Linked DNA regions of Coturnix japonica. The protein of the gene in region 6 interacts with the protein of the main gene of each other region in a pairwise test. Links are inferred from orthologs where the notes say so. Each region holds a gene or a part of one and is shown on either strand. Other genes may lie near its edges.

Region 1 (4,139 bases), on a different chromosome or scaffold from region 6:
CGGGCGCGGGTCGGAGCCGGCGAGCAATTGGGCCGCGGTCGCTATGCTAATGAGACGCTCCGGCTGCGGGTAAAGCGCTGCAAAAGGGAAAAGTTTCTGCCATTAGAGGGAGATCTCCGAGCGCTCAGTGCACAGCGGCTCTGCAACAGCTCCGCCGCGCTCCGCAGCACCGCGCCGGGGGGATCGGACCCTCTCCCGCCGACCCATGAAAATGCTCTGGAAGCTGACGGATAACATCAAGTATGAGGAGTGCGAGGTAAGCGCCTGCCAGGGCCGGGCACTGCCCCGGGGCCTTTAGCCGCGAGTGGGGCCGCGCAGCATCCACCGATCCGCGGATTTCGTTGAGGAGGAGTTGTGCCCCCTCGACCGGCTCGGCCGAAATGGGCCAGGGCAGATGGGAGCCCTCGGGGAACGACGGCGGAACGAGAGCCGGAGCAGTCCCAGCCGTAGGGAGAGAGCGCTGTGAGTGCGGCTCTGTGGGATGCTGAGCGCATCCGCACGGATGGATGGATGGATGGATGGACGGACGGATAAATGGATGGATGGAAGGGCCAGGAGACAAAGGGAGCAGAGAGGCTCAGGACCGCCGCTGAAATCCCCCACCCCACCCCAGTGCTGCCGTGCCCCGAATGCGGCTCTGGGGGCGACCTCCCCGTTCTCAGGGCCTTTGAGCAGTCGTATACGGACCGCTCGGCAAATTCAACCTCAACAATTAGGGTCTGAGGACAGAACCGTGTGTGTGTGCGTCCGTGCTCCGAGTGTCTTTTGGTGTGACTAAAAAAGAAAGAAAGAAAAGAAAAGGAGAAGAAGAACAAACCGAAGAGGGCATCCCATGCCAATCCCTAACAAAAGCCAAGCTCACACCTTCCACAAAAGTTCTCCTTGCGACACGGATCAATAAAAGGACCGCTCTGTGCGAACGAATGTACTAATTTGGGGCCGAGTCGATGCCGTGCGATGCCGCGGCGTAGGGCAGGGGCCGAGGAACCGGCGAGGACCGAAGGATGCGGTGCTTCAGTCCTGCCCCGAGCGCTGGGACGCAGCCGCTGCTCGGAGCGAGGCTGAGCTGTCGGATACGCGATGTCCGGCAACGGGGCGTCGGGGAGATTTCTTTATTTTATTATGACTATTATAATTATTATTCCATCCCTCGGCCCAAGGCAGGGCGAGAGCTTCACCTCCTCTCCGCCCCAGGCCGCCGTTGTGGGTCAGCGCCGCCCGCGTGTCGCTGCCGTCGGGGCTTCGGCCCCGGCCCCCTCGGGCGCCGATTTCGTGCCGTCAAGGCCCGGCGCAGCGCGGAGCCGGGGCCGGGATAGGGGCAGAGGAGCGGCGCGGAGGGCGGTGCCGAAGTCGCGCAGCCAGTCGGACGGGTTGCGCGGGGCCCGGCGTGTCTGGGCCGGACGGAGGAGCGCTCGCCGTGCCTCCCTCCCGCCGTGCCCGGCTTTCTCCTTCTCCCCCCGCGTCCCGCCCGCCCTCCTTCCTCCCTTCGTCCCTTCCTTCCCTCCTCTTTTCCCGGCTCCTCCGAGTTGGGGGGCGGCGGATGCTGGCGGGGCTCGAGGTGCGGGAGGAAGAGGAGGAGGAGGAGAACTTTCCAGGACGCGGCGGCGACAGCGGAGCGGGGACCCCTCGGCGGGGCATGGACGGGGCGGCGGCGGAGCCCCCCCCGCGCGAGGGCGGCGGGGCGGAGGGCGGCGGGAGCCGGGAGCGGCCGCTCTTCTCCTCCGCCGCCGCCTTCGAGCCCGGCTTCGCTCAGCAGCCGCAGCCCGAGGTGCGCCCGGGGCTGGGGGCGAGGAGGGAGGGAGGAAGAGGAGGGAGGGAAGGAGAGAGGAAAGGGGATCCCCGCCCCCCCCCCCCTTCTCCTTTTTACGCCCCCCCCCTCCCCCGCCGCACGGTTCTCCCACCTCCGCCGCCACCCTCCGGCTCCACCCTCTGCCTCTCTCCGCTCTCTTTCTCTTTCCACTTTTGGCATGCCCCCGCAAACCTTTTTTAAATGTGGCCCCTTCCTGTGATTCCCAGACGCGGCGGCATTGTCCCCCACCTGCGCGCCGCGCTCCCTCCCTCCTTCCTTTTGTCTCTCTCTCCACTCTTCTCTACGCCCACTCCTCCCTCTCTCCCGGCGCTGATTAGATACACCGATTCCTCATTCAATGGACGTCATTAGAACGGGCTCTGCCTTGAGTTGCCTTCGCGCTTCACCGCTCGATTGCGGCATTCTTCCCCTTATTTACAGTATTCGTGTAATATTAATAGTCATGAATATCCGCTGCTTAGGAGGCTCCGGAGGCGCGGAGGAGCGGGCGTGAGGAGCCCCGAACGGAGCGGCCGGAGCTCGGGGGAGAGGGAGAACGAGACAGAGACAGAGCGAGAAAAGGATTGAGAAACTCGAACACCACATACTAAAAAAAAAAAAAAAAAAAAAAAAAAAAGGGAAAAAAAAAGAAAAAAAAAGAGAAAAAAAAACCGCAAACAAACAAGCAAACAAACAACAAAAAAAAATCGACCAACTTTACCTCTCGCCCCGCGCCAGGATAAGCAGAGCTTCTGCAGCACCCGATGAAGGGCAGCGGCGGGCGCTGCGCGTTCTGATGGATTCCGGCGGCGCGGGCGCGGAGCAGGAGCAGCCCCGGCTCCCCGCTGCTGCCCCCCGAGCGTAGCGCCGGGCTCCGGCCGCGTCCATCCGCGCAGCTCCGCGCCCCTCCGCGGCCGCCCCGCGCCTCTCTCCCCGCCGCGCATCCCCCGACGCCTCGCAGATGTTAGTGCACAGTTTTTCGGCTATGGTGAGTGGCTTCGCCTTTCTCTCCGCCGGGGGTCGGGGCGCGGGGCGCTGCTATTGTTGGCGGCGGCGGTGGCGGCCGGGCTCGAGGCGGCTCTGCCCTGCGTTCTGCTGCTTCGCCTCGGCTTCGCCCTCTTCGCTCTCGTTTGGTTTTATTTTCCTTTGCTTTTTTGTTGGGGGGGGGAGGGGGAGATTGCTTTGGTTATGTTGGGGTTTGTTTCTTTTTTCCTTTCTTTTTTTTTCCTTTTTATTTTCCTTTCCATTTCTCTTTTATTTTCTTTTCCCCATTACCACCCCTTTTTTTTTTTCCTTTTTTTTTTTTTTTTTTTTTTTTTTTTAAATTTATTTTTCCTTTTATTTTTGCTCTGCCGATCTCCGGAGCCGCCACCCCGTTCCCGTCGCTCCGCACCTGCCCGCGGGGTTTTACTCCTTCCCTCGCCGCCTTTCTGAGGGCTATGTCTCTCTCCTTCCGATCCCTTCCTCCTCCTCCTCTCCCCCGTTTGAACGGGGCCCGGAGGAGACTCTGGGCCCTCGCCTTCGCCCCGAATCGTTGTGCAAAGTTGCTGGCAGGGGCAGCGGTGCCCCCGCAGCAAGATGGCAGTTCTCTCGGCTCTCCCGCTTTATCCCCGGGATGTGACGGCGGCGGCCCCCGGTAGAGGTGCGCCGGGGCCGGTGCAGCGCTTTGGGTTACGGTTTCGGCTTATGGTTCCGTAGGGCCCCGTGTAAGGGTTGTCTCAGTGCCCGCTGCCGGGGCACGGCCGGCCGGGAGCGCACGGATCGCCGCCGTAGCGATTTGTGAATTGTTCGGAACGGTCCCGTTATTGTGGTTATCGCTGCTATTACACCGGCACCGTTGGGGCGATGGTCCGAGCCCCGTTAATGCTGCCGAGGGCGGCAGACGGACCCCCTTCTCTCCCTCTGCTCGAGGAGCTGCTCGGCGGGTGAAATGACTGGAGGGCGATTTTGAGGAGCACCGGTTTTGATTTCATCTTTTGTTTTTCTTTTCTCCCCCTCTCTCCCCTCCCCTCCTCCCCCGTACCCCCTCCCCGTGCCCCCCCTTCCCCCCCCCAGGAGCGCCACGACAGTGCCAGCAACGGGACGGCGCGGCTGCCCCAGCTGGGGGCCGTGGGGCAGTCCCCGTATAGCAGCGCCCCGCCGCTCTCGCACACCCCCAACGCCGACTTCCAGCCGCCCTACTTCCCCCCTCCGTACCAGCCCATCTACCCCCAGTCTCAGGACCCCTACTCCCACGTCAACGACCCCTACAGCCTCAACTCCCTGCACACCCAACCGCAGCCCCAGCACCCGGCGTGGCCGGGCCAAAGGCAGAGCCAGGAGCCGGGCTTGCTGCACGCGCACCGGGGGC
Region 2 (3,500 bases), on a different chromosome or scaffold from region 6:
ACCTCTAAACTGAGGGCACAATTCCCCGCTGTGAGTCATGACCTGCTGATACAGCTCCCATGGAGACCCAGCCTCGGATGCTTGGGTCCTAAGAACACTTCCTCAGCTCCAGTCACTCACACGACACATAGCTTTCGTTACTGAACTCTCTGATGACATAATACAGTGCACAGATATCTTAGGGGAATTAAATCACCTAGCTATGCCTGGAACAGGCCATTGATTTTTGGTCAGCTTGGATCTTTGAGGTTATCATTTCCAGGAGAAGTAAAATAACTACTTTATTTTTTAAAGATAAAACTCTCTGCTCGATCAGATCCTGCAGGTGCTTGGCACCCTCATCTAATCAGCTGTAATTAGTTTAGCATAGGCAACTTCTTGCAACGGGACAGAAACAATGTACTTTTTCACACATCTCTTCAGGTGCCATGGAATTCAATCAGTCATTTGTAATTATGGTGTAGTGAGAATATTAAATAACAAAAAAGTAGGAATTAGAAGGCAGGAAGAGCATCGCTCCATGTTATTTCCTCCTAGTTTTCCCACTCTTTTCATCCTTTTAAGAGCTCTCTGTGCTCTAACTGGCTTAAAATATGGCAGCCACACGTCTCCTTTACTCTTAGAAACAGCATCTCACCCACTGCCTCCATTTTTACTGGCTTTTATTTCAAGCTAGTTCAAATTTCAACTACATTTTGAGGGGAGGGGACATTTTTTCTCCCACAAATTATTTTGTTTTAAACCAGTTGTGCTATGGAAGCAAACAGGCACCATTCTTTGAGCTCTCCAGACATTCTCCTCTGGAAAGTGGATAACTGCTGTAACTTCCCTACTCATCACCTCACTTCAGGAAGAGGGAGGCCCCAGGTGCTGTCTGTGACAAGGGCCTTTTTAAAGGAAGCTCCTGGAGAGTCCCCTGGGCACTCTGATCACAGACCACGAAACATCTTGAGAACTGCCTGATACCAAGCAATGGGATTTTACCCAGGTCTTAGCATAGATTTATCATGGAATGGATCAAACTCGTTATGCAACGCGTGGTCATGTTTATGCTTAGAGGTTCAGTTTTGCCTTGTCACATCTGATGGAGACTTTCCTTGAAAGATACTCTCCCCGTACTTACCTACAGCTACAGAGACTTCAGACTTTCCTGCACAGTCCTGTTTCACCACCTTGTGTCTGTGCAACTGCACCCTCCTCTCTTACACCATCCCCACTCACACTCTTAGATCATTTGACTTCCAAACACATGTTAAGAATACTGCCAGCCCACTCACAGCTGGGATCTGCACTGCCTCTACTGCCAGAGCTAGAAGATCAAGCTCTGCAATGAAGCTGAAACAAGTCCATCAAACTCGAGGCCCAACTATCATTAGGTTAGAAAAGGACAGCCCACGCTGGAGCAGCAGTGGGTTGCAGCTGGGTGATACATCACCAAAATCTGTCTCAATTGACTTACCTGGCTTAGATTAAGAGGCTGCTGCTGCTGGAAATGTGCTCCTGGTCGCTGCTGCCTATAGGCAACGGCTCCAGACGAGCTCCCTGAAGAGTGACCGCTGGTGGAGGTCACGGTGCTGGAGGACTTGGACTTGTAGGAAGATGAGTGGTGACTGGTGGTGACTGTGCCAGGAAAGGAAACACATTTGTAGCTTACATCACATTCTTTAATTGCTCACCCTACCTTTTCCTCACTGAGTCTCCTCCAGAGTGGCTTTGAGGAGGAGACATAAAACAGAAGTAGGATAAGAAAATGGTTTCTCTTTAGAGATACCTCAGCAGTACTTCTTATACTCAAACCAGACTGTCATCCTAGAGGCAGACAAGCAGATCTGGACCCCAAACTAGCCCTGGAGAAGGCTTTAAAGATCCTTCAGAAGTGTGAGAAACTGTTCTGCCAGTAGAACTGTACGATGCAGGTACAAATCCCAAAGAGAGGAAGGAAAGTACACTGTGCACAGCACAAAAAAAGCCCTGGCTTGACTGACCTCATGGTGAGTAGGAAGGGAGGGAGAGTGAGCTAGTGGGGAGCTCACCCTCTGAGCCTTCGTGTTCACCAGCAGTGCACCAAAAGAAAAGACTGTCAAATAACACAAAGCCAATTGCTTTGGGCCAAACTTCCACATAAGCCCCTTTTCAACATATTATACTATCTAATACTGCAGAGGCTCTGGATGAGCAAACCTCATCAGTCCACAGTGAAGATGCTGGGGAATTGTTTTTCCCAGAAACGTCAATAAATTCAGATGAAAATGCACATGTGTTTTCAATCTTTTATGTGTTGTAAAGTAAACCTATGGAAAGGCAGGGAAGCAAAGGTTCACACTTGCATTTGGGAGCCTTTCCTTTCAAATGTTGAGCTAAAGACTGCATTCTGCTCTTGGGTTTGCACAGAAGTAACTAGGAGTAACACTTGCCCCCATGACTCCTGAATGTACCAAGGCACATAAGCAATGCAATACAGCTCCCAAGAACAGATGTGTCACTTGAGAGCAGGGCAGGAGCACGGTTTCTTTGGAAAACAAAACAAACAAACAAACAAAATGAAACCGAACAATGAGATTCTTCCAAGATAAATCATTTATTTCTTACTAATTCTCTTGACGGAAGAGGTGCAATTTACCTGGTGCCAGGCTATCACACTCTACCAACACCTCACTGGCCTGGGTTTTCAGTGGTGGCACGATGATCGTTCGGGGGTTCCCACTGCAGTGAGTCTCTGGAACCCCTTTGGTGTCGTATGTGTTCCCATTATTCTGTCCTGCGCGATGTTGCGTGGCATAAGGGCTGTTGTTGCTGGAGGAATCGGAGTAGGGGGAATCATGCACAGTGACACAGCTGATGACGTTCTTCCTTTGCTTGGACAAGGTGCTGAAACACAAGCACACAAATGGAAACAGTGAATGGGGAACTACCGACTTGGAAGCCATCAGAAGACTCTGCCCACGGCAGGCAAGCTCTGCAAAGGCAAAGCACTCCCTGCGGTCCTTCACCAGTTGGAGGCTGCTTATGCCGAATTCTGGGCTTCGAAACTCACTCATTACTATTCTAGGGAAGCCTTTGTGGAGGTCAAGGAGTGAGTAAGACATTGTGGATGGATCTTATATTCACACTGCTTAGAATAGCACTGAATCAGACTGCCAGATTTATTTTCGGCCTGCTTTTTATATACGTGTGCAGTAGAGACCCAGCAGTTATACTATGCTTTGTTGCAAGTCTCACCACCCACACAAAAATGTGGTGGTTTCTCCCAGCCTTCCAGCAATGATTTAATAATAGATGCTACGGATTTTCATGATTAAATCCCATGAATCTATAAAATACACTCTTTTCTATTTACTAATATACTGCAGCGGGCATATATTTTCAAGAAGAATTTGAAACTGAGGAATGAATGAAGAAAAAACGAGCAAAGTATGTGTTGCCATACAGAAGCTCTATCGTTTCTTCTCTTTTTCCAAATAAGCACTGGGTCTCCTGGCTCTCACATGGATTATCAAGGT
Region 3 (3,979 bases), on a different chromosome or scaffold from region 6:
AATGAGAGCACGGGCAGTGTCTCAGTGGAACTCCTCGCAGGGCGCACAGCCACCAATGAGTCACACATGGTGCACGCCCGAGCAGCGATAACAGCACCATTCTGGGAAGTGCAGCCACACCTCGGAGGAAAGCGTTGCTCATTTAAGGGCAAGAGGAGTCAAGTCAGCAGCAGAACTCTCGGGAAAATGCTGTATGTCATGTGCCCGATGAGCTGACGGGGAATTCAAACCACAGCCCTGTTCATGGCCGCCCCGTCCGCTGCGCTGCTCAGCGGCACCACGCAGCGCTTTGTGCGCCCAGAGCCGCATCCAGCCCGGCGCAGGGACAGACAGCAACCACGGCAGCGGGCAGGGAAGCGCGCAGCTTCAGCCCCGGCTCTGCCCGCTTCCTTCTTCAGCCCCGCCGGCAAATGAAAGGGACGCGGGGACATTCCCACCCCCGGGCCGTCCTCACTTCTCCTCCGTTACCAAAACACAACGCGTTTAAACCGGTGTTTTATTTTCAACATTCTGTTACGGGGGGGATGAAAACAGCCCCATTTCTTTTACCCGACCTCCGCCCCCAAGCAGCGCTGCAGCACTGTTCCATTCTCCATCAGACCCATCTCTCATCGTTCCGTCCTCCCGCTCGCTCCGCTCTCACGCCCCGTCCCGTCCCCGCGAGGAGCCGCGCTCCTCCGCCGCTGCTCGCGCTCAGCACGGCGGCTCAGCGGTCCTCACGAGGGCCGGCACGGGCAGGGATCGGGCCCGAGCCCACGCGGATAACGGCGCCCGGTGGGTTTCCTCAGCCCCGCGGGGCGTCAGCGCCACCGGCGCCCCTTCATCCCAGCGCGGCCGGACGCGGAGCGCAGCGCCCTCGGTTACCGCAGCGCCCTCGGTTACCGCAGCGCCCTCGGTTACCGCAGCCCCGGACGGGCCCGGCGGACGGAGCCGCGTTCTCTCCCGGCATCGCAGCGTACCGGGCGGGGCGGGGCGGTGCGGGGCACGGTGCTCGGGCCGCCGCTGACCGCTCCCGAGTCTCGCCCGCTCCGTCCTGGCACCGCAGCCGTGGGCGCGGCGCTCCCCTGCCTCCTCCTCCTCCTCATCCTCATCCTCCTCCTCCTCCTCCTCCCCCGCTCCCCCCGCCGCCCCGCTCCGCTCCCCGCCCCGCCCGTCCCCCGGAGCATGCTCGCTGCGGCGGGGCCGGGCCGGAGGCTGCGCGCGGCCGCCTCTTGCGTCAGCGGAGCGTTCCGGGCGGGCGCGTCGGGTCCCGAGAGCCGCGGCCCGATGGTGGCGGCAGCGCGGCGCCATGAGCCGCCCTTCGTCCGCCGGGCCGGGCTCTAACAAACCCTGCGGGAAGCAGCCGCCGCCGCACGCCCCCGCCCCGGCCGCCGCCGCGCCCGCTCCCGCCGCCGCCACCATCGCCGCGTCCGGTGCCGGATCCTCCGCCGTGCCCGCGGCCGCCGCCGTCCTCTCCGGGCCGGGCGGGCCCGTGTCTCCGCAGCACCACGAGCTGACGTCGCTGTTCGAGTGCCCCGTGTGCTTCGACTATGTGCTGCCGCCCATCCTGCAGTGCCAGGCCGGGCACCTGGTCTGCAAGCAATGCCGGCAGAAGCTGAGCCTCTGCCCCACCTGCCGGGGCTCGCTGACCCCCAGCATCAGGAACCTGGCCATGGAGAAGGTGGCCTCGGCCGTGCTCTTCCCCTGCAAGGTGAGCGGACGGGGCGCCGGGTTGGACGGGACCCCCTTTCTGCTCACAGCCCTGCTCCTATTTCAGACGTGACAAAAACAACTCGTTTTCTCTCATCGTTGAAATAAGCGCAAGTGGTAAATGCGCTCGTAGGTACGGAGCTGACTTAATGCGGACACAGGGCGGGACGCAGGGCTTCATCTTTTGGAAAAGAAACCTCGCTCTTCGCAGCTTCCATAGGAGCAGCGATGCTCTGCGTCCCGAGAGCTGGGGCAGGGTTAGGGACACCTCCCTTAGGGAGGGTCCTGCTGAGATCCTTTAACTTGTCACCTCTGCCTGGAGCTGCTGCCCCATTTCTGAGCCTTCTTGTGGTTCTGATCCCTCTGAAGAAAAGGGAATCCAGTGAGGATTCATTTCGCTGTACTCTTTATGTTTAGTCCGAGGGCAAGATGTGGAATCCTTTCTGCACTCCACATCCAACCGTAATGTTTTGCTTTTAGAACCACTAGGCGTAGTGAGGTTGTGTATCCATTGAAAGGGCTCCGGCAGCATCGCACTGAGCGCTGCCCCCTTCGGCCGGGCGCAGGGACAGGCACTGCAGCCTCGGGCCGCCGCTGCTTCGCTGTGCAGCTGGGAGGGAAGAGCAGGGATGGACTCAGCGTGTCATTCCCGGCTCTGCTGCAGATTTCCCCTGCAGCTTCAGACAAGGTGCTTTAATCCCATATACACCCTGCCTTCATTCACTGACCTGGCTCTGCTGAGCACCTTCAAGCTTAGCCAATGTTTTCAGAATGCTTTCAGGCACTCACATTACCTGTAAGGGGAAGTCCAGGGTAACGCGAGTGAAGTGACGTACATAGCAACAACACGGAATGCTAAGTCATTATGTGGTGATGGCTGCAGGGCTGCCTGCTTCCTCTTAGGAAGGTGAATGTGGTGCAAGTAGTGCTGTGACGAAAGGTACTCGTAAAAGTGGAATGCTGGGAGCGAGAGAAAGGCAATGTGAGAGCACGGAGCAGTCACATCAGCTCCGGCATTTGTGGTGCACCAGCACTGCCTGCACCCTGCGCTCCTGCCTCAGGAAGGACACAGGAGAAGTGGAAAAGGTAGAGCCGTCAATGAGATGGGCGGTATCATATGACCTGCACGCAGGGAAAGACCAACAGGCTCTTTGGTTTGAATGAGGATATGGTAAATATCGGTGACATGTGCCAAACAGCATGAAGGCAACAAGTGCTCTGTGTTCCCAGAAGATCTGTGAGAGTCCCTTACAAACCCAGAGCGCTCCGTGAATCTGTTCACAACCTCCTGCTCACCAAACAAAACTGCTGCTGTGTGTTCAGGAGCCAACAGAAGGAGGTGGGTCACAGCAAAGGAAAAACCACAGCTATTTCCTCAGCTCTCTTCCTTGTGTGTTCACCACTGGTCACTTTCTGATACAGGCTGACACTACGCAGACGTTTGCTTTTGCCCATCCAGCAGCTTACATGTTCTTACTGCTTTTCTAACAGGGTCAGACCGAGAGCGGTTCTTCAGCAAAGTGCAAAGCGATTACATTGCCAACAGGGGTATGAATGTAGAGTGAAAACAGCAGAACAGTGAGAGTGGAAGCATAGAACCCAGCGGCAGGGAGCCGTGCTCTGCATGGTGGGTTTCTGCCTGCAGCAGGAGGAGCCCTGGTTGCACCGCAGCACACCTCTGTGCTCCTGTCACAGGTGGATAAATCCTGTCACAGAGGATTAAGCAGCAGAGCACACGTTATGGCTTATAAAGCAAGCTCTGTAGAAGCACAAGGTCTCGTTTCTGTCCCAGCAGTTGTAGCACTGTGCTGCAGTGTGGGTGATTTGGCTGCAGTAAGGAGGACTGTGGCGTCTGCATCTCAGGCATTTCACTCTTTGAGCTGAAACTAATTGTGTTTGCATTTAACCCCAAAATACGCTGTTAAACTTTGATGAATTTGGACTTTGCTTAGTTGAACATTTTACAAAAAGTCTGTCCAGACTTGTGTTTCCCCAGAGATTGTCTTGTTCCTTCAAACATTCTCTCACCTTTGGTCTCAGAGCACAGTCCCTGACCCAAAGAAGCGTCCTACCTCCTGTAGGCAGCCACACGTGGGCTGTGATGGCGGGACCGCATGAGCAGAGTTGCAGAAGTCTCTCCAGCTGTCTGCAGATGGGGGGAGCTGTGCTCCTGCTCAGAGCAAAAGACGCGTTTCTCCTTAGAGGTAGTGAGGAAGAAACGTGTTCAGTGCAGACAGCGACTCGGTGTTGAAAAGGAAAAGCATCCCTGTTTGCTGAAAGCAGATTAACC
Region 4 (4,298 bases), on a different chromosome or scaffold from region 6:
CCAGGACCCAAAGACTGTACAGCCACCACCTTATGACACATCACCTGACCAACACATCCCATATATACCCAGCACATGGGTACTTTGCAAGGCCTAATGCATTCCACACCCTCAGTGATAAGCAGATATGTGACACAGGGAGACAGACAGAGCATGCTGCAGGAAAGGGAAGCAAGCCGGTACAACAGGTGGTGATGGGGGGAATAGAGATGATGAGAGAAACAGCATGACTGGAAGCCAGTACGGAAGACTTAGTGCTTTATGAACAGAACTCACAAACAGTAAAGGACAGGCACAACCGGGGGCACAGCTCATTACTTCTTTCTTAAGGTGATGCATGCAACAAAAACGTGTTTCAGTCTATAATGTGTATCAACAGGTATTCGTTCACCTTTGCCTTTAGCTGGCTTCTTGGTGGGTGTGTCAGCCGAGACAGTTATTTCAATGTTATCCGGATCACCTCCCTCCTCTTCAATAGCCTGAACGGGACACAGAACGACAGTTTTTAGTGGAGTTCAATTGGAAGCAATAAGTTGTCACTTCAGGACGTTGACGAGCCAAGTTATTAGATTTTCAACTACACAATATCTTATGAAACACTTCAGGTTAAACCTCCCACCGAAAGCTGGGGGAGAGGGAGGAAAGCCTGACGATAGCGACAGCGGTTTGTTGAAGCCGTTCTCGTGACATTCCGAAGGACAACTTAGCGAGCAGCGGTACGTTTCCCTCAGGGATCGCTACGCCGCAATGACACCAAGGGGCAGAGCGGGCAGCAGGCAGCGAGCTGCAGCGCCCCGGGTCCCGGCAGGGCCTCAAGGCCGCGGGCCGAGCCCCGCCTGACGCCTCCACTCCCCGCGGCCGGGCAGGGCGTGCCGCCGCAGCACGGGCAGGGCCGGGCCGGGCCGGGCGACCCTCAGCCCTACGGCAGCAGCGGCACGAGGAGCGGGCCCGCCCCCCTCACCGGGACCGACACCGGGACCGACACCGACAGGGCCCCGCCCCCCTCACGGCGCTGCCCCCGATCCCGATCCCGGGCCGCGCCGCTCAGCCGGGCCCGCGCGGAGCTCTCACCTGCTTGAGCCGGGAGATGAGCACGGTCTTCACGCCGGTGACGTCCAGGTTGCGCCGCTTCAGCTCCGACTTGAGGTCGATGACCCGCAGGTCGCTGATCTTCTTGCTCTCGGTGGGAGGCGGCGCCGCGGCCGCCGAAGCGTTGGGCGCCCCGGGAGCCCCCGCGGCGGCAGGAGACGAGGCGGCGGCGGCGGCGGCGGCCATCTTAGAGCGACTGAGCGCGGCAGCCGCGCGCACAATGAAACCCCCCCGCCCTGCCGGGGCCGCGCGGTACCCGGATGGAGGCCGCGGCCGACCTGAGGAGCGGCGCAGGCGCAGTGCGGCTCACCTGCGCTCCGGACCTCCCCGCGAGAGGTTGGCGGCGGGCGGGTCGGGCGGGCGGGGGTGAGTGAATGAGTGAGGGAGGGAGTGAGTGCGGCGGGGAGTGAGTGAGTGAGTGCCGCGGTGCGGCCCCGCCCAGCGGGACGGGACGGGACGGGACGGGACGGCGCTGGGCTCCGGCCGGGCTCTCGCTTCTTCAGGGAGCGGCGCTGGGAGCCATGAGGTGCCCCGGGGCGGCGCGGGCTGGGCCAGGCCTTGCGGGAGGCGCAGGGCGGGGCCGGGCCGGCGGGGAGGGCGTCCGCAGCCGGGAGCCGGGCGGTGCGTCCCGCCGGGCCCCGCCGAGCGCTTCGGATCCTCGGCCTCGCGCGGGTGCGGGCCCGGCCCGGAGGAGGTGACGGTGCGGCGGCTGCGGGCGTTTGTCGGTACGAGCTCGCGGTCACGGGCCGCCGTACCGGGGCCGCAGCTCGTCCGCCCGCTCGTAGCGCCGCGTCGGCCCCGAGCGGAACAAAAGCGGAGCCGTTACCGCCGTGTGCTGCCGGCGGGGCCCGTCGCTGGGCCGGGCCGGAGCTCCGCGTGTCCCGGCCTGTGGGGCTGTGGGAGCCGTGCGAGGCGCGCTCCGGTTGCGAGCCGTCGCTCGGGGTGAATTGAATCCTCTAACCTTGAAACCGCTCCGTCGCAGCGATGCGCTGTGCTGCCTTCGTTCAGCGATGTGCACTGATCGAACTGCAGGGATGTGCGCGTTTCACTTAATAAATCTCTTACACGCTTTTTTTTTTTTGGTGTAAGTTAAGCCCGGAATCCGACGGAGTGGTTGGGAACAGCTTCCTCTCCTGTTTCCAGAGCCTCCATACATAATCCTTTACCTCAGTCGTTAGCGTTTAACAAAGGCTGACACCCATCCATTCAGAAGTTAAGCGTGTGCCTGAAACGGAATTTGTACTGATGACACACTGGAACAGGTTGCCCAAGGGGGCTGTGGGTGTCCCATTCCTGCAGGCACTCAAGGCCGGGCTGGATGTGGCTCTGGGCAGCCTGGGCTGCTGGTTGGTGACCCTGCACACAGCAGGGGGTTGAAACTCGGTGATCATTGTGGTCCTTTTCAACCCAGGCCATTCTACGATTCTATGAGTGTGGGAGGATTTTAAATGTCTCTTCGGCATGGTGAAGATTTAGTGAAAAGAGCAGTCTGAAGTGGGAGTGCTGTGTGTGTTCTTGCTCATGCTGTTCCCTGTGACAACACTTGCGCTAACATCTGATTTATCAGAAATGGCTGAGGTTAACTGATGGACTCCTTAGATTTACTTTAGACCACAGAAACAGATTTTGTGGGTGTTGGTGTAACTTTCAAACAGAACGTGGCTAAGTCCAGCTTTTGTTTCAGTTCTACTTTGAGTTCAGCGATCTACCAGAATATCAGGCAGGACTGCCAGCTCCCTGCAGCAGCGTTGTATCAGGAGGGACAGACTGCACTGTTCTGTTCTCAGTCCTGGGAATGACCAGTGGGTTAACACCTGCAGTGCTCACCTGCTTTCAGAGCAGTATCTGCTCACCTCAACCACTACATTTGTTGGTTGATGTCACGTAGATGTGGAAGCTGTTGATCTAAAAAGCCAACAGTGACCTTAAAACTAATACCTAGTCTCCATTATCCTGCCTCGAGGCGTGGTACGCCATTAGGAAAACAGCCTTGACTGATGTTCGTCTGACCTGTTCCTAAAGCCTTAACTAGGGATGCCACTCATTCCTCGTCTAGTCTAGCCCTTAACTATCCTTTTTCAGATGCCTCCTAAATCCCTTTTGCTGCAGTTCTTACTCTGACTCTAAAGGACAGAATTCCTTTTTCCTTTGCAGCATTTTTATGTGAAGACTACTAGCACATTTTGTTTGCTCCTTTATTTTTGGGGTATAAATCCAGATCATTTTCTTTTCCTTGATCCGAGTTCCAGAACAGATGACCTTTTTCTGTTGCACCTCTCCAGCATTTGTGCTGCACTTCCATCAAGTTGCCTTAGTGCCAGCACTTCCAATGCTGCATCTGGGAGCTGTGTGCCTTTTCCAGCTTCACGAAGGTGTTATCGTATGCAGTTTGTGATCCACTCTACATGTTGGTTTCTTTCCTGAACGTTTCCTATGGTAACTGATTCTCTGCACCTGATTTCTTTGCACTTCTGTTCATTACATGTATACATTTTCGGAGTGATTTCTGCCTTCATCGTTGACTTTTGCTCCATGTGTAGTACCTCTAACCATGGTGTTAGGTGCAGGTTTATACTTGCAGTCTAAGCTGTTATGCAGAGGTATGAGGGCCTTTACAGGACATAAACTGCAGGTTTGATGCTGAACTACTAGCGGCATTGCTCAGGGTACAAACAGTTTGGGACTGGGGTTATGTGGTTTCTATCCAGTTTCCTCTTTAAGTTTCCTCTTAAAGTTCCTATTAAAAGGAAGTTTCCTCATAAAAATGTTGATGGAACAGAATGTCGGAAGTCTCAATAAAGCTGGGATCTTCAGTTTATTCATATAACAAAACTGAAAATAAAGTTGGTTTGATCTGTCAATGAAAAATCATGTTGGTTGGCATCTTTCACATTAGTTTATAGGTATGCCTCATGATCAGATCTGTTTGGATTTGCTGAGGAATTTTAGTCTATATTGGCTGCTTTCTAACCTGGAGTTGGATGATTTGTTTGTTGTAAAGAAAAATACTCTTTGTCCTTTTACAGTCTCTTGAAACACGTACTGATGTTCAAAGAGAAGGCTGCTATGTACAGTTAGGCTCTGAAGTTTATGGTTAAGTTTGGTTAGGAGACAGTGGTATCTGTTCAAAGAGGAGAAATGTTTGGTGCACATGTTGGTTTTTAAATGGCAACAATGATAAAACTCCCAACCTTTGCTCCTGTGATGTA
Region 5 (4,295 bases), on a different chromosome or scaffold from region 6:
AGACCCGCGTGTCGCGCATGCGCACTAGTTCTTTCGCATTATTCCGTCATTTTAAGGCCTAGAAACACCGGACAAAGCCCGTCCGCCATCTTGGCCCTTCCCGGTTGATGACGTCACGTCTTACCGTGTGTCCACGACGCCTCAAGACCCGGATGTAGCTTAGGCCGCTCCCCGTTGTGCGCACGCAACATGGAGGCGGCTCTTAAGGCCGCGCCGCGAGTGCCCGGATGTTGCGCATGCGCACCTCCAAACCCGGAAGTGCCTTCCAGATACCCGTATGTAACTCAAACCCGGAAGTCCCTCCAAATCCCCGGATGTACTGCGGGTTCCCAACCCGGAAGTCCCCGGATGTAACTCAAACCCGGAAGTCCCTCCAAGTCCCCGGATGTCACTCAAACCCGGAGGTCCCTCCCAGATCCCCGGATGTACTGCGGGTTCCCAACCCGGAAGTCCCCGGATGTAACTCAAACCCGGAAGTCCCTCCAAGTCCCCGGATGTCCCTCAAACCCGGAAGTCCCTGCAAGTCCCCGGATGTACTGCGGGTTCCCAAACCCGGAAGTCCCCTCTAAATCCCCGTATGTAACTCATGCTCACTCCCAAACCCGGAAGTCCCCTCTAAGTACCCGTATGTAACTCAAACCCGGAAGTCCCTCCCAGATCCCCGGATGTACTGCGGGTTCCCAACCCGGAAGTCCCCGGATGTAACTCAAACCCGGAAGTCCCTCAAACCCAGAAGTCCCTTGTAAGTCCCCGGATGTAACTCAAACCCTGAAGTCCCTCCCAGATCCCCGGATGTACTGCGGGCTCCCAACCCGAAAGTCCCCTCTAAGTACCCGTATGTAACTCAAACCCGGAAGTCCCCTCTAAGTCCCCGGATGTACTGCGGGCGTCCAACCCGGAAGTCCCTTCTAAGTCCCCGGATGTAACTCAAACCCGGAAGCCCCTCCAAGTCCCCGGATGTAACTCAAACCCGGAAGTCCCTCAAACCCGGAAGTCCCTTGTAAGTCCCCGGATGTCCCTCAAACCCGGAAGTCCCTGCAAGTTCCCGGATGTACTGCGGCTTCCCAACCCGGAAGTCCCCTCTAAGTCCCCGGATGTAACTCAAACCCGGAAGTCCCTCCCAAATCCCCGGATGTACTGCGGGTTCCCAACCCGAAAGCCCCCTCTAAATACCCGTATGTAACTCAAACCCGGAAGTCCCTCTAAGTTCCCGGATGCAGAAGTCCCTCCCAAATGCCCGGATGTAACTCAAACCCGGAAGTCCCTCCCAGATCCCCGGATGTACTGCGGGTTCCCAAACCCGGAAGTCCCCGGATGTAACTCAAACCCGGAAGTCCCTCTAAGTACCCGTATGTCCCTCAAACCCGGAAGTCCCTCCAAATCCCCGGATGTAACTCAAACCCGGAAGTCCCTCCCAAATCCCCGGATGTACTGCGGCTTCCCAACCCGGAACCCCCCCTAAGTACCCGGATGTGCTGCGTCCCTCCATCTTAGCGGCCTCCATCGGGCTCTCCATCGTTCCCGGTGTCCGCCATGTCCATCTCCACCCCCCCCAGCAGCAACGACGCGTGTCTGAGCATCGTGCACAGCTTAATGTGCCACAGACAGGGAGGAGAGAGCGAGACCTTCGCCAAACGAGCCATCGAGAGCCTCGTTAAGAAGCTGAAGGAGAAGAAAGACGAGCTGGATTCTCTCATCGCCGCCATTACGACCAACGGGGCTCACCCGAGTAAATGCGTGACTATACAACGTACATTAGACGGGAGGCTGCAGGTGGCTGGGAGGAAAGGGTTCCCCCATGTGATCTATGCGAGGTTATGGAGGTGGCCCGACCTGCATAAGAATGAGTTGAAGCACGTCAAGTATTGTCAGTACGCGTTTGATCTCAAGTGTGACAGTGTGTGTGTCAACCCGTATCATTACGAGAGGGTGGTGTCGCCTGGGATCGGTGAGTACAATGGGGTCCTATGGGGTCCTATGGGGTCCTATTGGGGTCCTATGGGGTCCTATGGGGTCTATGGGGTCCTATTGGGTCCTATGGGTTCCTATTGGGGTCTATGGGGTCGTATTGGGGTCCTATGGGGTCCTACAGGGTCCTATGATATAATGGGGGGAGATACGCAATTTGTGTAAGGGAGGCCATAGGAAATAATGGGGGAGATACGGAGTTTGCGTAGGGGAAGTTACGCAATTTGCGTAAGGGACTAGGGAGCCAATGGGAGGAGTTACGCAGTTTGCGTAAGGGCGGGGGGTTCGATAATGGGAGTTACGGAGGTTGCGTAAGGGAAGTTACGTAGTTTGCGTAAGGGACTATGGTGGTTAATGGGGGGGGAGTTACGCAAACTGCGTAAGGGGCTTCTATGGAGTCCTATTGAGTTCTATGGGGTCCTATTGAGTTCTATGGGGTCCTATTGAGTTCTATGGGGTCCTATTGGGTTCTATGGGGCTCTATGGGGTCCTATTAGGGCCTATGGGGTCCTATTGGGGTTCTATTGGGGTCTATGGGGTCCTATGGGGTCCTATGGGGTCCTATTAGATCCTATGGGGTCCTATAGGGTCCTATGGTGTCCTATTGGGGTCTTATGGAGTCTGTGGGGTCCTATGGGGTCCTATGGGGTTCTATGGGGTTCTATGGGGTCCTATTGAGTTCTATGGGGTCCTATTGGTTTCTATGGGGTCCTATTGATTCCTATGGGGTCCTATTGATTCCTATGGGGTCCTATTGGTTTCTATGGGGTCTTATTGGGGTGTATGGGGTCCTATTAGATCCTATAGGGTCCTATTGAGTTCTATGGGTTCCTATGGGGTCCTATTGGGGTCCTATTGAGTTCTATGGAGTCCTATTAGATCCTATGGGGTCCTATGGGGCTCTATGGGGTCCTATGGGGCTCTATGGGGTCCTATTGATTCCCATTGGGTTCCTATAGGGTCCTATTGGGGTCTATGGGGTTCCTATTGGGGTCCTATTAGATCCTATAGGGTCCTATTGAGTTCTATGGGGTCCTATAGGGTCCTATTGAGTCGTATTGGGATCCTATTAGATCCTATGGGGTCCTATTGATTCCTATGGGGTCCTATTGAGTTCTATGGAGTCCTATTGGTTTCTATGGGGTCCTATTGATTTCTATGGGGTCCTATGGAGTCCCATTGCATCCTATGGGGTCCTATGGGGTCTATGGGGTTGAAGCACGTCAAGTATTGTCAGTACGCGTTCGATCTCAAGTGTGACAGTGTGTGTGTCAACCCGTATCATTGGGGTCCCATTGGATCCTATGGGATTCTATGGGGTCCTATGGGGTCCTATGGGGTCCTATGGGGTCGTATTGGGGTCCTATGGGGTCCTATCGGGTCGTATTGGGGTCCTATAGGGTCCTATGGGGTCCTATTGAGTTCTATAGGGTCCTATGATTTAATGGGGGGAGATACGTAAATTGCGTAAGGGAGGCCATAGGAAAGAATGGGGGGAGTTACGCAATTTGCGTAAGTGAGGGCTCAGGTTACGCAATTTGCGTAAGGGAGTGCGGTAGTTATAATGGGGGGGAGATACGGAGCTTGCGTAAGTGGGAGTCGGGTTACGCAATTGACGTAAGGGAATAGGGGTTTATAATGGGGAGGAGTTACGCAATTTGCGTAAGGGACTACGGGGTTTATAATGGGTCCTATTGGGTTCTATGGGTTCCTATGGGGTCCAATGAGGTCTTATGGGGTCTATGGGGTCCTATTAGATCCTATGGGGTCCTATTAGATCCTATGGGGTCCTATGGGGTCTATGGGGTCCTATGGGGTCGTATTGGGATCCTATGGGGTCCTATTGGGTTCTATGGGGTCCTATTGAGTTCTATGGGGTCCTATTAGGGTGTTATTGGGATCCTATGGGGTCCTATGGGGTCCTATTGGTTCCTATGGGATCCTATTGAGTTCTATGGGGTCCTATGGGGTCTTATGGGGTCTATGGGGTCCTATAGGGTCCTATTGGGATCCTATGGGGTCCTATTGGGTCCTATTGAGTTCTATGGGGTCCCATTAGATCCTATGGGGTCCTATTGGGGTCCTATTAGATCCTATGGGGTCCTATTGAGTTCTATGGGGTCCTATTGAATCCTATGGGGTCCTATTGGATCCTATGGGATCCTATTAGATCCTATGGGGTCCTATTGATTCCTATGGGGTCCTATTGAGTTCTATGGAGTCCTATTGGTTTCTATGGGGTCCTATTGAGTTCTATGGGGTCCTATTGATTCCTATGGAGCCCCATTGGTTCCTATTGGGTCCTATAGAGTCCTATTGGATCCTAT
Region 6 (3,218 bases):
AGAGTTTATGTATATGTATTAATCCTTAATGATTATGTAAATGTTTGCTGTAATAGAGTGATAATATTTCTTTCACTCATTCTGTAAGCTTATTTAGGAGCGAGATACTGCTCTGGTGGCTGTATGAAGTAGTTAGGATGACTGTTCTGAACTCACAGCTACCAAGTTTTAGTTCTTGTTTGAACGGGTAGAAGTGCAGTGGGGAGGAGGATTAAAGATCTTTGCTGGAGGTTTCTGACCACTAATGGAATGATATGGTTAATGAGATGGTGAGTTTAGTACAGTTTGAGCATGAAAAATAAGGTCTCACTTCAGCTGCTCTTGTGGTTGAGTGGAGGATCCTCCCCTGATTCTGGGAGGGAATTTGTGTCTAGAATTGTTCTCGTGTTGTCACATCTTGGTCGCTGTACTTGGCTGATACTTAAGACAGTGAAGATCCTGGAAGATTGCTCAGTTTATATGGGTATTAAAGATCTGTCTTGTAGGATGAGTGGGCTGCTCACTGACTTCCTCAGTTAATTTCTGTCTCTTCTTTTGGCATGACATCAGAATCACTCCAGTTTGCTAAATCCTGTGCCCTTGTTGCTTTTGTGTAGAACCCTGGATTTTAGCAGGGACTTGGTCTATTAGTGGTGTTTCTTATTCTCATGTTGGCCAGAAATGGGAGCAGTGCAGGCGTTTGCCTTCAGAGGAGAGCGGTACCTTTCATGATGTCACAGAGAACTGGATATGCCTTTGTCAGTCTCAAGCAGGAAATCTGAGCCTTTCCTCCTGTCAGTGATAGTGTTACTGCTATCAAGATACTTGGAAAATTATTTTGACAGTGTGGTTCAAATATGAAATACACAGTGGGTACATGTAAAACTGGGTTAAGTCCAGTACCTGGGATGTAGTTGATGTGGGGTAACTTTATGACATTATTAGTGTTAACATCTGCTGTGTGTGAAAACATGTCGTGGCTGTGGTAAAAATGGAAGGCCAAAAGACTTCTTGAGTGGTCGGAACTCTTATATGGAGAACATAATGTTGCTGACATAGTGATAAGGTTGTACTAAAAGTAACTATTTTTGTTTTAGAGGGACTCCGAATATGTCTGGCATAGCTCTAAGTAGACTTGCACAGGAGAGAAAAGCCTGGAGGAAAGATCATCCATTTGTAAGTATATATATGAGCACTGTTAACCTTCTGACTTGCGCAGTTACATTCATGTTCAAATTCTCTTTCCCTGATGTGTTACAATAATTGAATTAATTTTTAAATAAGAAACTGCATAAAACTGTGTTTTGCACAAAGAAATAACTGTGTGTACATCAGGCATGGCATGGAGTGTTCTCAGCATGTTTTCTGATGTACCTTTTGTTTTTGTTTTGCCTTAATTCAGGGATTTGTAGCAGTACCTACAAAAAACCCAGATGGCACAATGAACCTAATGAACTGGGAATGTGCTATTCCAGGAAAGAAGGGGGTAAGGCATTCTGTTGTCCTAACATTTTACTAATGTCACTTTCCAGCATAACTGTCATTGTGTGTTATGCTGAGAACTGTGAGACTATAAGTTCTGTGTAGTTCAATATAAATATTTGGGTTATGGCACTGGATATAGTTCACCGTGGGTCTGTTCAGCTTTTGGCACCGATCACCTTAAGAAATATAATCCTGCATGGGGCAAATTGAGATGCTATTCTGCATAATGTCAGGGATTATCGTGGTTTATCTTCTTACTGAACACTGGTTTAAACTATCAGGTTTTTATATTAGTTTGTATTTTTATATACTATGACTGTACTTGTATCTTGCATTATCAACATTTATATCAGATCTGTTGATGACTTAGTGACACCTGGAAGCTGTAGTAAAGTGGAGAAAAGAAAATACAATGAACTGATGTAAATAATAATAATAAATTAATAAAAAAGAAAGCTATCAGTGGGATCACTTACCTCATTGTAGGCAGCATACTGCAGTGTAGGACAACTCTTTAATAGTGGTGTAGGAAAAGTGCCTTGTGCTTTGTCTAGGAAACTGTTGTTTGGGTTTTTTTTCCATGTTTAACTTGCTCTTATTGTAATCAAAACACCACCTTAACTTCTTTTATAGACACCATGGGAAGGAGGTTTATTTAAACTACGGATGCTTTTCAAGGATGACTACCCTTCTTCACCCCCAAAATGTAAGAAAAATGACAGCAAAAAAGCCCACACCAAACATAGCAGAACAGTATTTAATAGTCCGTGAGGTTGTCCAGATAGTTTTCACTCCCTTGTGGAGTTCTTTTTCCTACAGAAAGCTGCTTTATTTCCCCACTCCACACTTGGTGTTTAGAATTTTGTGATGAACTGAGCAAGTGCTCAGTGCTAACAAAGCTAGAAGGGGAAGGGTGAACTGTGCTTTGGATTTCCTCAGAGCTTGTCAGAAGCATCACTTGAAGTGCTCACTACTTGAGCAGCACTCTAAACTAGAGGTAGTAACAGGTAGGCATGGTTAGTCTAAGACTTCAGTCAGTATTTGGGCTTTTTCATGCTGTAAAGTTAGTCTACTACACTGAGAATTCACAGTAAAAATATATTGTTCCATCAACTTCTACCTTTTCATCTGTTCACTGTAAATATGGAGGTGTTATTTATTGTACATGGTATTAGAAAAAAAATACTTGTTTTACTTGTTAGGGAATCTTCTAGAACTCAACCTTGTGTGCTTAAAGTAAGATGTGTGGCTGCTAAGACTCGTTGCTAATGCAGCTTCTGCTTTTCCACTGAACTTCACTGAGCAGCTGATAAGCAAAACACAATTGTAATGTAAAAATGGATAAGAAAATTGCAGTAACATTGACTTCTCATATACCATTAAACAAGTGTTCTTTATGTTATTTGAAATAATCACTGTAGGAATTAAGGCTTATAAAGATTAAAGAAATGCTAGAATGTAGTCTGCCGGTAGGGAAAGCTGCATAACTGACCTTTTCAATCAGTTCTGCAGGTTATAGGCTACATAAAGTGAAATTGAACAGTAATACCTGAGACTTGGTATTTTTTGTATGGAATTTTCAATATACTACAGTGAGAGGAAAATGAACAAGTGACAGGCAGTATCTTTCTTTATAGAGTAGTGTATATTGCTCTGAGTATGGGATTGGTTTAAAAAGTTATTTATTGTGTAGCTACTATGAACTTTTCCATCAATTTCCATTCCTAAACCAAAATATTACTGGTCACAGTGAT
Region 7 (4,109 bases), on a different chromosome or scaffold from region 6:
TGGGCAGTGTATCAAATTCAATACAAGCCCAAGGATCCTACTGATTTCTTGCAAGCAAACTGTCATGCCATACAACTTGTTCCTTTGTATAAGTTACTAACAAAATGTGCTGGTAGTAGCAGCTGACAGTATTTCCTGCACTCATGTTTTGGCTTAGACACTGTCTGTGCACATGCATGAAAAAGTGGTTGCTGATATGTGAATTACGGTTAATAGATCTGACTATAAGATGCTGAAAACCCTCCCAAAAAACACTGTGAAGAAAATAAACAAACAGAATATGGAGTCTAACATCATCTATGCACCTCCACTGCTTTATGTAGCTGAGCCATCTCACTTAAAATACACACGCAGATGAGGCTTCAGCTGTTCCCTACTCCACCTTAATAGCGATGCTTATTTCCAACAAGCACTGTTCAAGAGGAAGGTAGATTTACTTCCACTGACTGCAATCAGGGGCAGCTACATTCAGGGTTTTCAGTGCTTCAGTTCCTAACTCGATGGCACCAAAGTGCCTGTTGGCACAACCAGCTTCTTTATAGAAATCTGACCATTATTTTTGTTGCTATCAGCTCTAGCTCTGTGACCTCATGAGATCTACCAATTTTTTTCTCTCAATCAAGAATCTGAATCAAGAATACAAGCCGGCGGCTGCTCACTGAGGGTAAAAGCCATAAAAGGAAGAAAAATCAGGAAACTATAATGTTAAAACATGAAAAAAGAAAAATAAAATAAAAAAAAAAAAAGAAAAAAGTAAAAAAAAAAAGAAGTTAGAAGTGCTGAAGCCTGTGAAGATCCCGGTTCGCCAGGCCCGTGGCGCAGCCCTCCTCCTCCCACCCGTCGCTCCCGAGCCGTCCTGTGCCTCCTGTGCCTCAGGGGCAGCAGCTCGGCCCCGGGCCGCTCCCAGGCTCAGGGTCGGTACCTTTCAGTGCCAGCAGATGCTCCTGCTTGGGCTGGTTCACGTCCATGGTGCAGCCTGAGGCCCGAGCGCCGCAACCAGCCGAGAAGCGCGTAACCGCAGCGCGGGCAGAGCGAGCACCGCTGAACCCGGAAACAGCTGCTCCACACACGCCCCGTCATACACCGCCACGGCGCCACAAACTACAACCCCCACAGGGCCTTGCGCCCGCTCAGCCCACATCCCCCGTCCCGAGGAAGGCGGGTCCCGCGGGCAGCCCCGTGGCGGTGCATTCTGGGAGCTGTAGTTCTGGAGGGTGCCCAGGCGGCGGCCTCGCGGAGCACGACGGGAACTGCAGTTCCGCTCTCGGAGGAGGCGCAGGAGAGCGCATGCGCACACTGAGGAAGGGGTGCTGTCTGCGCGGCCCGCTGTGCTCCGCCCCGTCCAAGATGGCGGCCCTGGCTGTAAACAAGGCTGCGGCTGCGGCCGGGCCGGACGGCGGCCGCGGAGCTGGGAACAGCTGGGGCCCGACCGGCGCCGCCGTGAAGGTGAGGCGGGGCCGCTCGCTGCTCTCGAGCCGGTGCTCTGCTGTGCTGTGCTGTGGCGGAGGTGCCTGCTGGGCCCGGGAGGAGGCGTACCGAGCGCTCTGCAGGGTTTCCTCAGGCGGTGTGTGCCGCTGCGGTAGGGCCTCGCTGCTCCTCCATCGCACCGCGGGGCTCCGGTGAACGGCTGCGGGGCGGGAGGCGCTCGGGGAGGCCCCGGGTGGGGGCTGTGTCCCTGCTCCTCGCGGGAGGGCTGCTCCGTGCTGCTCCGTGCTGCTTCCGTTGTGTTTTTGTCTTGTTTCGTTGTCTTGTTTCCCCCCCCCCCCAGCCTGGAGACAGATGGTATCTTTTCTAAAATCGTAGGTTCTCGAGTGCGGAGTCTGTGAAGATGTGTTCTCTTTGCAAGGCGATAAGGTTCCTCGGCTGCTTCTGTGTGGCCATACTGTGTGCCATGACTGCCTGACCCGGCTTCCCCTTCACGGCAGGGCTGTCCGCTGTCCTTTTGATCGGCAAGTTACTGAATTGGGTAAGAGAGCTTAGGCCTGAATTTGTTAAGACCGAACAGAATGTTTAAAAGACCAGCAAGCCTTAACAGGAAATGTATAAAGGCTGATTTGAGTTTGTAGGCTGGCAGTGTGTGGTATCAGAATTTTTACTGTTGATAGTTTTGATTTGGCTGCAAATGGATGAGAAGGGTTTAGTACAGTAAAATGCATGGCTAGATAATGTGTGTGGATAGTACACAAAACCAAATAAGATGAATGTACTAGTTGTATTTGTTTTGCAGCATTCCTCCTGTACTCTGAAATGCTTTTTTTTTTTTTTTTTTTTTTTCCACTGAGAGGAGTGAGAGAGATCTCATTAAGATTAGGTAATAAGTTTTTATCTTCTCCTTGAATATAGGCTTGCAAACACCTTGTTTGTGAGCCTGTGTTTACAAAGTGACTGGTCTGTTTTAAATCCCTGTTTAATGATTCTTGAGAGGATATCAGTTTCCTGTTGTCCTAAACATTAAGTAGACCATACAGTTACGTAAGTTGTTTCTCTGTCAAACAAATTTGCCTGGATTCACAGTGGAATGATAACAAACCTGTTTGTAAAGTATATGGTAATTCTAAGGGTGATAGAACTTAAATTGGCAGGCTGTCTACAGGGATTTTATTACTTTAGAAATGTGTCTCAAAAGATCAGATATGGTGTTTATTCCATAGTGAGAGTTTATTTCAGGCATATGCTAGTGATTGTGCATTCAACATAGAGTTAAAGAAAGGACAAGTTACTAGAAGAATTTGTGTCAAGGTTAACTTGTGAACAGAGCTGTCTGCAGTAGCTTTGAATAGCACAGTGGATAAAAATATTAGGATGGCGGAGAATCCATGGAGCAGGAGATATCAAATGTAGTAATGCATGAAATAAATGTACAATTATCAAATCAGCATGAATACGTATTTACTTTGAAGTGATAGTCTGCTAGAGTTAAAGAAATATTAAATGGAAACAAACTCAGAAGAAACATCAGCATGATGTGAAAAAGTTTTGTTTGTGGTAGGAGAGGTGTGGATGGTATGTGATTGAAAGAGGATTGAAAGAAGTTTATTTTTTTATGTGACTGTACATCTATATGGGGTTTATGTATGTATGCTTTAATAGGGAGCGTGTGTTAGTCTTGCTGTTGTGAAACTTCAGCGTGAGCCAGCTGCTTGTATCTTGTAAATGGGGAGCAGAGCTTTTTATTGTAAGGGGGCGTTGTCACTTTGTGGCTCTTACTGTGTGATTTCCGCCTGACAATTGGAAGCATCCTACAGTAATTTTTTATTTTAGTTTCAGTTTTAACCAAAAATTAAGTTTCTTCGTCTTACGTAACAACTAGTGGTTTCTGATGGAACAATGTGAAGTGTTAAATTTGCAAGGCTTCTATAGAAAGGTAGTGGGAAGAAAAGCTGAAGCTTTCATTTCTAGGATAGTAGGCTTGCAGCTTATTGGATGGTTCTGGAAAGAAGAATGATATGTTGTGATCAGCTGTTGCTCAAAAAAAAAAAAAAAAAATTAGCAAAACAACCTGAGAGTCAAAGCACTTCTGTGAATGAAAATGTTTTGCCTGATGGTTTGAAGCAGAAGAGGGTCATGGCAACATTTCATCTAATCTGTTCTGTAAGTCCTCGGGGAATAGTAGAATCATAGAATCACCAAGGTTGGAAAAGACCTAAAAGGTCATCCAGTCCAATTGTTCACCCATTACCAATAGCTCCCACTAAACCATGTCCCTCAACACAACATCCAGTCTCCCAGGGTCTCCCCCAGGGTCCCAGGGTCGGTGACTCCACAACCTCCCTGGGCAGCCCATTCCAGTGTCTGACCACCCTTTCTGAGAAGCAATACTTAAGTCCAGCTTGAATCTCCCCTGCTGCAGCTTGAAATCATTCCCTCTAATCCTATCGCTAATGACATGAGAGGCCGACCCCCAGCTCACTACAACCTCCCTTCAGGAAGTTATAGAGAGCAATAAGGTCTCCCCTGAGCCTCCTCCAGGCTGAACATTCCCAGCTCCTTCAGCCTCTCCTCATACGGCCCCATTGTGCTCCGGACCCCTCACCAGCTTGGTTGCCCAGCTCTGAACATGTTCCAGGGCCTCAATGTCTTTCTTGCAGTGAGGTGCCCAAAACTGGACG

Evidence for each region.
Region 1: the proteins of UBE2I (region 6) and TFAP2A interact in binary tests that used the Homo sapiens proteins (3 or more experiments, as listed by UniProt). The link is inferred for Coturnix japonica from reciprocal best matches to the Homo sapiens genes UBE2I and TFAP2A.
Region 2: the proteins of UBE2I (region 6) and HIPK2 interact in a two-hybrid assay, tested with the Homo sapiens proteins (5 studies listed by BioGRID and IntAct). The link is inferred for Coturnix japonica from reciprocal best matches to the Homo sapiens genes UBE2I and HIPK2.
Region 3: the proteins of UBE2I (region 6) and SIAH2 interact in a two-hybrid assay, tested with the Homo sapiens proteins (3 studies listed by BioGRID and IntAct). The link is inferred for Coturnix japonica from reciprocal best matches to the Homo sapiens genes UBE2I and SIAH2.
Region 4: the proteins of UBE2I (region 6) and RNF111 interact in binary tests that used the Homo sapiens proteins (3 or more experiments, as listed by UniProt). The link is inferred for Coturnix japonica from reciprocal best matches to the Homo sapiens genes UBE2I and RNF111.
Region 5: the proteins of UBE2I (region 6) and SMAD4 interact in binary tests that used the Homo sapiens proteins (3 or more experiments, as listed by UniProt). The link is inferred for Coturnix japonica from reciprocal best matches to the Homo sapiens genes UBE2I and SMAD4.
Region 7: the proteins of UBE2I (region 6) and TRIM23 interact in a two-hybrid assay, tested with the Homo sapiens proteins (3 studies listed by BioGRID and IntAct). The link is inferred for Coturnix japonica from reciprocal best matches to the Homo sapiens genes UBE2I and TRIM23.

The regions. Positions count from the first base shown.
Region 1 is NC_029517.1:65,928,489-65,932,627, reverse strand, and holds the start of TFAP2A (transcription factor AP-2-alpha), read left to right. Parts: upstream 1-1,339; 5' UTR 1,340-1,540; coding exon 1,541-1,768; intron 1,769-2,435; exon of another isoform or gene 2,436-2,750; coding exon of another isoform or gene 2,751-2,777; intron 2,778-3,844; coding exon 3,845-4,139.
Region 2 is NC_029516.1:56,122,499-56,125,998, forward strand, and holds part of HIPK2 (homeodomain-interacting protein kinase 2), read right to left. Parts: intron 2,869-3,500; coding exon 2,621-2,868; intron 1,621-2,620; coding exon 1,460-1,620; intron 1-1,459.
Region 3 is NC_029524.1:20,989,182-20,993,160, forward strand, and holds the start of SIAH2 (E3 ubiquitin-protein ligase SIAH2), read left to right. Parts: upstream 1-1,179; 5' UTR 1,180-1,288; coding exon 1,289-1,690; intron 1,691-3,979. UniProt on the Homo sapiens protein: E3 ubiquitin-protein ligase that mediates ubiquitination and subsequent proteasomal degradation of target proteins.
Region 4 is NC_029525.1:5,872,561-5,876,858, reverse strand, and holds the start of RNF111 (E3 ubiquitin-protein ligase Arkadia), read left to right. Parts: upstream 1-1,498; 5' UTR 1,499-1,610; coding exon 1,611-1,615; intron 1,616-4,298. Other genes in the region: SLTM (SAFB-like transcription modulator), read right to left, coding at 392-479, 1,072-1,275. UniProt on the Homo sapiens protein: E3 ubiquitin-protein ligase. Required for mesoderm patterning during embryonic development. Acts as an enhancer of the transcriptional responses of the SMAD2/SMAD3 effectors, which are activated downstream of BMP.
Region 5 is NW_015439872.1:57,509-61,803, forward strand, and holds the start of SMAD4 (mothers against decapentaplegic homolog 4), read left to right. Parts: upstream 1-1,495; 5' UTR 1,496-1,533; coding exon 1,534-1,948; intron 1,949-4,295. UniProt on the Homo sapiens protein: In muscle physiology, plays a central role in the balance between atrophy and hypertrophy. When recruited by MSTN, promotes atrophy response via phosphorylated SMAD2/4.
Region 6 is NC_029529.1:7,283,072-7,286,289, forward strand, and holds part of UBE2I (SUMO-conjugating enzyme UBC9), read left to right. Parts: intron 1-1,076; 5' UTR 1,077-1,089; coding exon 1,090-1,155; intron 1,156-1,381; coding exon 1,382-1,465; intron 1,466-2,097; coding exon 2,098-2,170; intron 2,171-3,218. UniProt on the Homo sapiens protein: Accepts the ubiquitin-like proteins SUMO1, SUMO2, SUMO3, SUMO4 and SUMO1P1/SUMO5 from the UBLE1A-UBLE1B E1 complex and catalyzes their covalent attachment to other proteins with the help of an E3 ligase such as RANBP2, CBX4 and ZNF451.
Region 7 is NC_029547.1:14,354,370-14,358,478, forward strand, and holds the start of TRIM23 (E3 ubiquitin-protein ligase TRIM23), read left to right. Parts: upstream 1-1,309; 5' UTR 1,310-1,347; coding exon 1,348-1,446; intron 1,447-1,803; coding exon 1,804-1,966; intron 1,967-4,109. Other genes in the region: TRAPPC13 (trafficking protein particle complex subunit 13), read right to left, coding at 923-968.